2 linked regions of the Ovis aries genome follow. The protein of the gene in region 1 purifies or fractionates together with the protein of each later gene. This does not show direct contact. Links are inferred from orthologs where the notes say so. Each region holds a gene or a part of one and is shown on either strand. Other genes may lie near its edges.

Region 1 (3,500 bases):
CGCATATCACTTTGCTGCTTTGTATGTCTATGGAACACATTTCTGCTGATTTGCAGCTCTGCATTAACCACGAAGTCCACTGCTTCTTGGCTACATCCTATTAGATGTGATATCTGTAACAATCTAAAGTCTGGAATTTCTCCAGAGAGGAGTCAGCCTGGGGCAATCTGTCTTCCATTTAGAAATTGTAATCAAACTCTCTGTAACACACCAAGTAGCAATACATCAGCTTTCCTCTTTAAGGGACAAGTAAAGGTTATAAATGGTGAAAAGTTCAGTAAATTGTCCAAATCTAACACCACTGTTAACTCCAATAAATAGGATGCTAACAAATTCATTTAAAAGACTTATTATCCCACAGCGGGAAAACAGGCAATGGCAGATAATTTATGCTCCAGTGGCATACGATGCCACCAAAATTCAGCCATTTCAGGACTGGAAGGCAGTCTCCAACTTGCTTACTAATATAGGGTGAGACAATAGGGTGAGACAATCCTAGCCAAAGGCAGGGGAATGTTGAAAAGTCCTGTACAGTATACTGCATATGTGAGGTGTCTTGATATCAGACAGCAGATACACAAAAAAGTTAATACACAAGGTTAAGTACAGGTTATTTCGGTTTATTATCCTAGACTTGGGAGGATGCAAGACCAAGTTGAACCTGTTAAGATAAAAAACAGCACCTAATTGCTTTTGTTCTTACTCTGAAGAGGCAACTCTTCCTACTCTATTTTCATACAGGCATATCTCAGAGATGTCATAGGCCTGGTTCCAGACCACTGCAATAAAGCAAATCACACTAATTTTTTAGTTTCCTATTGCATATAAAAGTTATGCTTATACCATGCTGTAGTCTGTTAAGTGTGCAATAGCATTATGTCTAAAAAAAAAGAATGTACATACCTTAATTAAAAAATATTGCTAAAAAAATGCTAACCATCATCAAGCCTTCAGGGAAATGTAACCTTTTTGCTGGTGGAGGGTTTGAAATACTGTCAGCATTACCAAAATGTGACACAGAGATAGGCAATGAGTAAATGCTGTTGAAAAAATGCCGCCAACATACTTTTTCAAGGCAAGGTTGACCAAACCTTCAATCTGTAAAATACATGGTATCAGCAAAGCCCAACAAAACAAGGTATGCCTGTATTCCATTAAAGTTCCGTAAGAAAAATGGTCAGGTACATGTGCATTAGATTACTTGCATAATAGTATCACCTATAAACACAGTAGGATGCGGTAACCAAATCTACCATCCCTTTTAATTCACATTTAAGGGTACCCTTTTCAATTTAACATTTTTCACTTGACTCAGGATAGTTCAAGGGCTGCTACCTCTAAGTTTTCATAGGTTGTCCTTAAATGTAAATAGCTTTAAAGTATAGGTGAAACTTTAAACCTAAGGAAGAAAACCCAAACTGGGCACTGCAAATTTAAACTTAAATTCATTCTACAGTAGAAAGGCAACACAGTCCCCCATGAAGCATACTGAGATGGAATACAAGTGGACAGAACTATCACTTGTTAGAACATCAACATTTAGACTAATCTCAGAAGCCTTTCTTCTTTAATGTTTCCAAGAAATCTGGTGTACACTGACAAAGAATGCTGACAGCTCTGAGACCATGGAGGTACCGCTGTATTAAATTCCTCCTGTAGCTAGACTTTAAATGACTTTAATCTTAGGGTTCATTGTTAAATAAGGATTCCTTTTCTGCTGCCATAAAACTCATTAAACAATTTAAGTGCCTCCAACTTTTGATTTGTTTTGGGAGAAACTTCCTAATACCAGGTCTCTGAAGCATATAACTTAAGTCATAATTTATTTTTAGTGCCAAATATGGTAAACAAGGCCCTAGATGTTCACTACCTCCAGACTCAGTGATGTTAGCTTGAGTATTCAGTTAACATAATTGAAGAAAACAAAAGGGCATAGACAGAAGTATCAGTACATACACCTCATGTATCACTAACTACAATATCTGGTTGTTTACTTCACCAATCATGATTTGAACCAATTCTAAAAAGTCTTCCTATGTTTAGTCCCAGTCTCCCCTATGGTCCCAGTCTTCCTGTGTTTTCCTGTCACAAGTGATACTTCTGTCTGCGTTGGCTTAATCCAAACCTCTGCTTTTTATTATACCTGATATAAGTGAAGACCACCCCCGAAAAGCTGACTCTTATCTACAGTCTGTGCCTTTCTCAGATATTTCCAGATTAATTTTTAAGTATATTTACTGAAATCTGCAATATTTAAAGCAAAAAGGATCAATATACAATTAAGGACAGATGTGCTTGAATCAAGTAGATTTTGAATCTTTAGTAGGTTCTTTACTGATTTTTTTCGAGGTATGAAGAATAGTTTAATAGTTAAGGGCCACTTTCATGAGAATCCCCTGGATGTTAGTCAAAATGGAGATTCTTGTGCTATAACCTAGACTAATTTGGAATCTCTAGGTGAGCCAGAAATGTGCATTTTAAATCAGCTCTTCAGGAGGTTTTAATGTTCTCTATTAAGAATTTATTGGTCCATCTCCTAAAGTGACATGTACCTGATGAATTCTAGGTACTAAAGTTGTTTCATGCTTATAGCCTGTGCCCTGATCTTGGCCAGCCAGTTTGCAAATGTGTGCTGAATAAGATAGGGGATGATTTGATGCACATCCAGCTCCAGTGCTTGAGAAACCACACTGCACTGTCCTGCAGTGGGCCATGTAAGAATAGTAGATTGGTTTTTATTTTCTCTCAGAATCTCTTCATCTATCTGTAGGTGAATTATATTAGAAAAAATATATATGAAACCTACTAACCATAGGGAAGCCGACTGGTGCCAGGATAAAGCAAACTGGAGCAGGAGTTTAATGGAATTCCTGGTCCAAGTGCTGACTGTGTCTTTTCACATGGTCAAATCACTTTATCTTTTCTGGGTCTAAATAACTCTAAATGACCTCCATGATTTCCAAAGTCTTTTTCAGCTCCAAAATCCTAATTCTGGAGAAAGATTTGTGTTTTAAAGATATTTTGAAATGAGGACAAGAGATGAAATGTAGAGCTGAAATCAGGACAAACTCGTAACTAATCCACTTAATAGCTTCTTTACAATTAATATTCATTGCAGGTCTGAATCCAATTATTCAGCAAAAAGCAGCATGAGATCACCTTCCAACATCTCTCCAGCTCCTTTGGGGTAGGTGAAAAGGGCTTTCCGTGGTGGGGCAAGGTCTGAGACACTGAAACCAGATCCAGTGACAGAACTTCCACTGACCCCACCAGCTGAGGAGGATGATGAAGAGGCAGCCATTTCCTCTCTAGCAGAATTCTCACTTCACTACAGAGAAAGAAAAACAGCAAATTGGCAGTTTATGGAAGTGAGACCGACAACATTTCATTCCAGCTACCATGAAAGCCAGCATGCAGTTTAGTCAAGAATTAGTTCCAAATTTTTCTACCCTCTGTACTCCCACGATCTTTTAAGGCTCCTTGGGCCAAAATGTCACTCA
Region 2 (4,250 bases), on another chromosome or scaffold:
ACCTAGTCTTAAGGCACACAATAGGCTTCAAAGAACTGCTTGTGGAATGAAAGAACCAACAAAAGTCCACAGGACAGGATCTGGAGCCTCACAGACCTCAGTGTGAAGTCTAGCTTATTAGCTACCAACCTTTGGGCAAGATCTCCTCTTTGATCCTATTTTCTTCCTGTACAGTGGGGACATCATCATCACCCCTGAAGGTTCTTTTAAGGATATAGATAAAATAAGTCAGGTTTCAACCTCAGCCCATGGCACAAAACAGGTATTCAATGAAAGTGGAGCTATAATTCTTATTATGCTCTTTTGATTATTTTTCTAAACTTGAACTAAGCTGTCATTTATTATCTGTTACGTGTATTATTCCTTGAACACATTACCTCTTATTCTTAAATGAAAACATGTATGGCCACAGCAGACCACCTGCTTGCAAATTCTATTTAATCAACAACTCTTGGCAGGCTCTACAGAAAAACAATCCTTATTCTTCTTGTTAGGCTTCTATGACAAAAATTCTATGACAGAATTTTTAGTAAGCATTTATTCGAGTAAAACGTTTAGATCTTATGACGTGAGGCTTAACAAACTCCCTGCAGAATAATTTTCCAGAGATTAGGAAAGAAAAGAGCTTGATGATCTAAATGTAAAAGAAGAAAAGCCAGGTCTCTTCTGAATATTTTCCAGGGAACCTAGAATAGATATGTGTTCCAAAACTGTGAGTTTCTAAAAATGACAGGCCACAGGTAGAGAAATTAAGTGCATATACCACTGCTTCCTGTTCCTCCTCATGGTGTGCATTAAATTCTTTACTCCCTTTGGTGTGGTGGACAGAACATGGCTCAGAGGGCCTCAGTTCTAGTTCTCATATGACCTCTAATTGAGCTAGTCACCTCAGCAATCTGAACCACATTTCTCTTCAAATACAAAGTTGAGCTAAATACTCTCCAGAGGTTTCTAGAGTCAGAGGACTCCATAGTTTTGATTTCTTTGACTTTAATTTATTTGTCCATTGATAACCTACACCTACTAGGGTCTACCAGATCAGACCTTTAACCCATCACCCTCAGCACACATTTCAGCCTACCAGTGGTATTGCAACATCCTCATAAGGCAGCTTATCTTCTCGCCAAGCATCGTCAATCAAATCCAAGATCCTTCCATCTCTCTGTACCTCACTGTCCATTCTCTTGCAGCTTTGATCTTGTCGGATGGGACCTGTAAACCAAAGAGGTTATTTCTTAAACATGAAGAATGAAAAGATGATGTAATCCAGCCACTAGGGTTCTCTAGGCTTTCTAGTGTGGGTTTTGGCATTGGATCATCCAGGGAGACTCATCTCACCTGGATTAGATTACAGTTTCTTTATAACATCACAGTACCTCCCAGCTGATCTTCCTAGTCACACACAGATTCCATTTTTTGGTAAAGTTTTCTCGGATCACTCAGCGTCAGCATGCATTCTGCCCTTGAATGGTTCCTTGTTTTTATGATTCACTAGGCAAGTTAAGTTGGCTTTATGACTGATGGTTCAAGCATTATTGTTTTCAATTGCTGTGCGTAAATTTTTTATTAATGATTCAGCATGTTTTCCCTCAATTTGGCCTCAAATAGTTTTTCACCTATTCTTCTTTAGAATATATCTAACTTGTCACACTTTCCAGCCTTTGCACCTAAAAAGGTCTCTCTGCCCCATCACGAACACCTATTTTTCCTTCCAAACTCAAAGTTGAGTGTCAGCTCATCGGGGCTAACATCTCATTTCCAGAGTTAGGCGCTAAGGTGCCGTCACTCTTCAGGGGCTGGAAGCGTGGAAAGTACAAGGCGGGCAATGACCAGGTCACAGCCAGCGTCCCAGGCACTTGCCAGTCCCCATAATTAACTGTTACCACTTTCCTGAACAAAATCTTACACACGTGACTGTCCCAAAGCTTGGAATGCTCTGTCTTCTTCCTTTTTTCCTCAGCTAACCCCCAGTCACTCTAAACAACTTAGCTCCCAGGTTGCCTCCTGCAGGAAGCTTTCTCTAAGCTCCAAGAAGAACGCGATATCCGCCCCTCCGCAGGTTCCATATTTCCCGGGGCGCAGTGAATGGGCCCCATCAGGGGCTTGTTACATTGCCCGTTACAGGGTCTTCCCAGACAAGCGGTGCGTGCGTTTCTTCGGGACAGGGGCAGTTTTATTCACCTCTGTTTTAGAGATCGGTAAACTTGCAGTTAAAAGAGCAAACCTGGAATGCCCTTTCCCCCCCGCTAAATATGACCCTCTCGGGCCACCACCGTCCGTACAGGCGTGGGATCCCGCCCCATAACCTCGGCTTCCGGCCCAAGGCGGGCTCTACCAAATGCGGAAGCGGGGGAAGTCCAGGGCCTTCGTGTAAGTCCTTTTCTACCCTCCCGACGAGCGGTAAGGGAGGTAGTTATCAGGGTGAGGTGAGGGCAACGACCTCTGCCGATAGGATCGGCCGAAACCCGAACATGCGCTTCTCCTACACTACCTAAGCTAGGGCGCGGGAAACCTTTACCAGCACTGGCCCAGCACAGCCAGAACCACGCCCCCAGCGGTCATGTGGCCGAGGCGCCCTGCTCTCCGATCCCCGGAAGTCGGTGAGCCCATTTGGCGGGGCGGAGGGGGGGGGGGGTCAAGGAGGACGTTGCTTCAATTAAAAGTCAGGGAGCAGTAGGCGGAACGAATGTTCCGAAGACCGTGACTGGACGTCAGGTTGGCGGTGACGCGCGTGCGCGCCCCCGTCCGGAGGTAACGGCGGGAAGATTCGGGGGCGCGCTCGTGGCAGGCCTGTAACCGCATGTGTGAAAGTCCAACAGGCGACGGGTGCCGGTGTCCGGAGCCGGAGGCCGCCCTGGCTGCAGTGGGGCCGCAGACTGAGCGGCCGAATGGCCGGGGGCCGACTTCCTCAGCCGCCCGCTGGCCTCCAGGCTCGCCTCCGCCGGCCCGGCTCCGCCCCGGCGCCCCGCCCCTCCTCGCCGCAAACGCTTCGCAGACCCGCGAAGCAAGATATGGCCTCCCACGGCGCGCAGTCCGGGCTAGCCAGGTGGTCAGCCCTTCCCCTGAGGCCGGCCGGCGGGAGGGCGGCGGGGTGGGCGAGCTGCTCCGCTTCTCCCAGCGGAGTCGGCAGCGAGTCAGGCTGCCACTTCTGGGGAGGTACCCCCGGCCCAGCCCTCCCGCCTGGGCTGCCTCATTTGGCTAGCATCCTTCCTAGCCTTGTTGAGGCTTAGGTTGCTGACGGCAGGTGATAGTGGTTCATTTATGGGTGGGAAATTTAGCAAGTTTTTAAAAATAATTGACTTAAAAACCATAATGTTAGTTCCAGAGGTATGGTAATGTGGCAGAAATCATGAAGGACAGAATTTGGGGAACCCTGAACTTATTGCTCCATAGAAATCAGGGATGCGAAATAAAGTGAGAGAAAAAAAGGGATGGGCCCATAAAGCACTATAATCATGAACATATTTGGAAGCAGTAAACCTAGGCTCATAATGTAGTTTTTACAACATCAGAGAGTAAAAGTGAGCTTGCTGTCAGCGACTCGTGTTCATTTACAGCGTCTAGTTAAAGCATGCGTATTGCGCAGAGTAGTTTTCCTTAAGGCTTACAAACGGTTCCTTAAACCAGTGTTAACATTTTTTTCCTTCCTTTAATAAAACAGTACTGTAGGATTTGTGCCCTGTAGTTTTACAGTTCCCCACATGCTTGCATTTAACTATTTTCTAGATACGAAGAGGAAACCATAAGGATCATTAACTACATGTTACCTTCAAATTTTTCTATACTGATCATAGCTGTAGCTTAATGATATAATAAAGGGTATGTATTTTCTTATTTGAAATGTAGTATTATTAGCTTTTTATCGAGCTTCTTGCCTTTTGACTATATCATCAGTGATCAGTATAGTAAGAACAACTGAAATTAAAACGGGCTAGATATTGATAAACATTATAGATTCAGGTTTTAACAGTTATTGTAGTTGTTGTATGTATTAATTGTATTGATGCCACTTGTCTCCCGTTAAAAGGTAGAACAACTTTGGCCCTTCCCGTTCTCAGTTAAGGTAGTAGTGGTATTGGACGGTAATAGCATCACTAGTCAACTTTATTAGAGCTTCCTCCTTTTAGGAAGCTTGTTTGAAATTCAGCTAAAACCGACACTGACCTGGGTTTCAGGAATTGAATTTTTGGTTTCTGTGTTACTTTAAATATTTTTCTTTAAGAACTCAGATTGTGTTTTCAGCTTTACAA

Evidence for each region. Proteins that work in one complex are often made in the same cells at the same time.
Region 2: the proteins of ANAPC16 (region 1) and ANAPC13 purify together in Homo sapiens (affinity purification with mass spectrometry; 3 studies listed by BioGRID and IntAct, counting the BioPlex papers as one, with this or other methods). This does not show direct contact. The link is inferred for Ovis aries from reciprocal best matches to the Homo sapiens genes ANAPC16 and ANAPC13.

What each region holds. Positions count from the first base shown.
Region 1 is NC_056078.1:27,526,070-27,529,569, reverse strand, and holds part of ANAPC16 (anaphase-promoting complex subunit 16), read right to left. Parts: exon of another isoform or gene 3,329-3,500; 5' UTR 3,302-3,328; coding exon 3,160-3,301; exon of another isoform or gene 3,119-3,159; intron 1-3,118. UniProt on the Homo sapiens protein: Component of the anaphase promoting complex/cyclosome (APC/C), a cell cycle-regulated E3 ubiquitin ligase that controls progression through mitosis and the G1 phase of the cell cycle.
Region 2 is NC_056054.1:255,495,601-255,499,850, reverse strand, and holds the start of ANAPC13 (anaphase-promoting complex subunit 13), read right to left. Parts: upstream 2,801-4,250; 5' UTR 2,492-2,800; exon of another isoform or gene 2,371-2,491; coding exon of another isoform or gene 2,339-2,370; exon of another isoform or gene 2,317-2,338; intron 2,287-2,316; exon of another isoform or gene 1,339-2,286; intron 1,213-1,338; 5' UTR 1,181-1,212; coding exon 1,082-1,180; intron 1-1,081. Other genes in the region: CEP63 (centrosomal protein of 63 kDa), read left to right, coding at 2,801-3,046. UniProt on the Homo sapiens protein: Component of the anaphase promoting complex/cyclosome (APC/C), a cell cycle-regulated E3 ubiquitin ligase that controls progression through mitosis and the G1 phase of the cell cycle.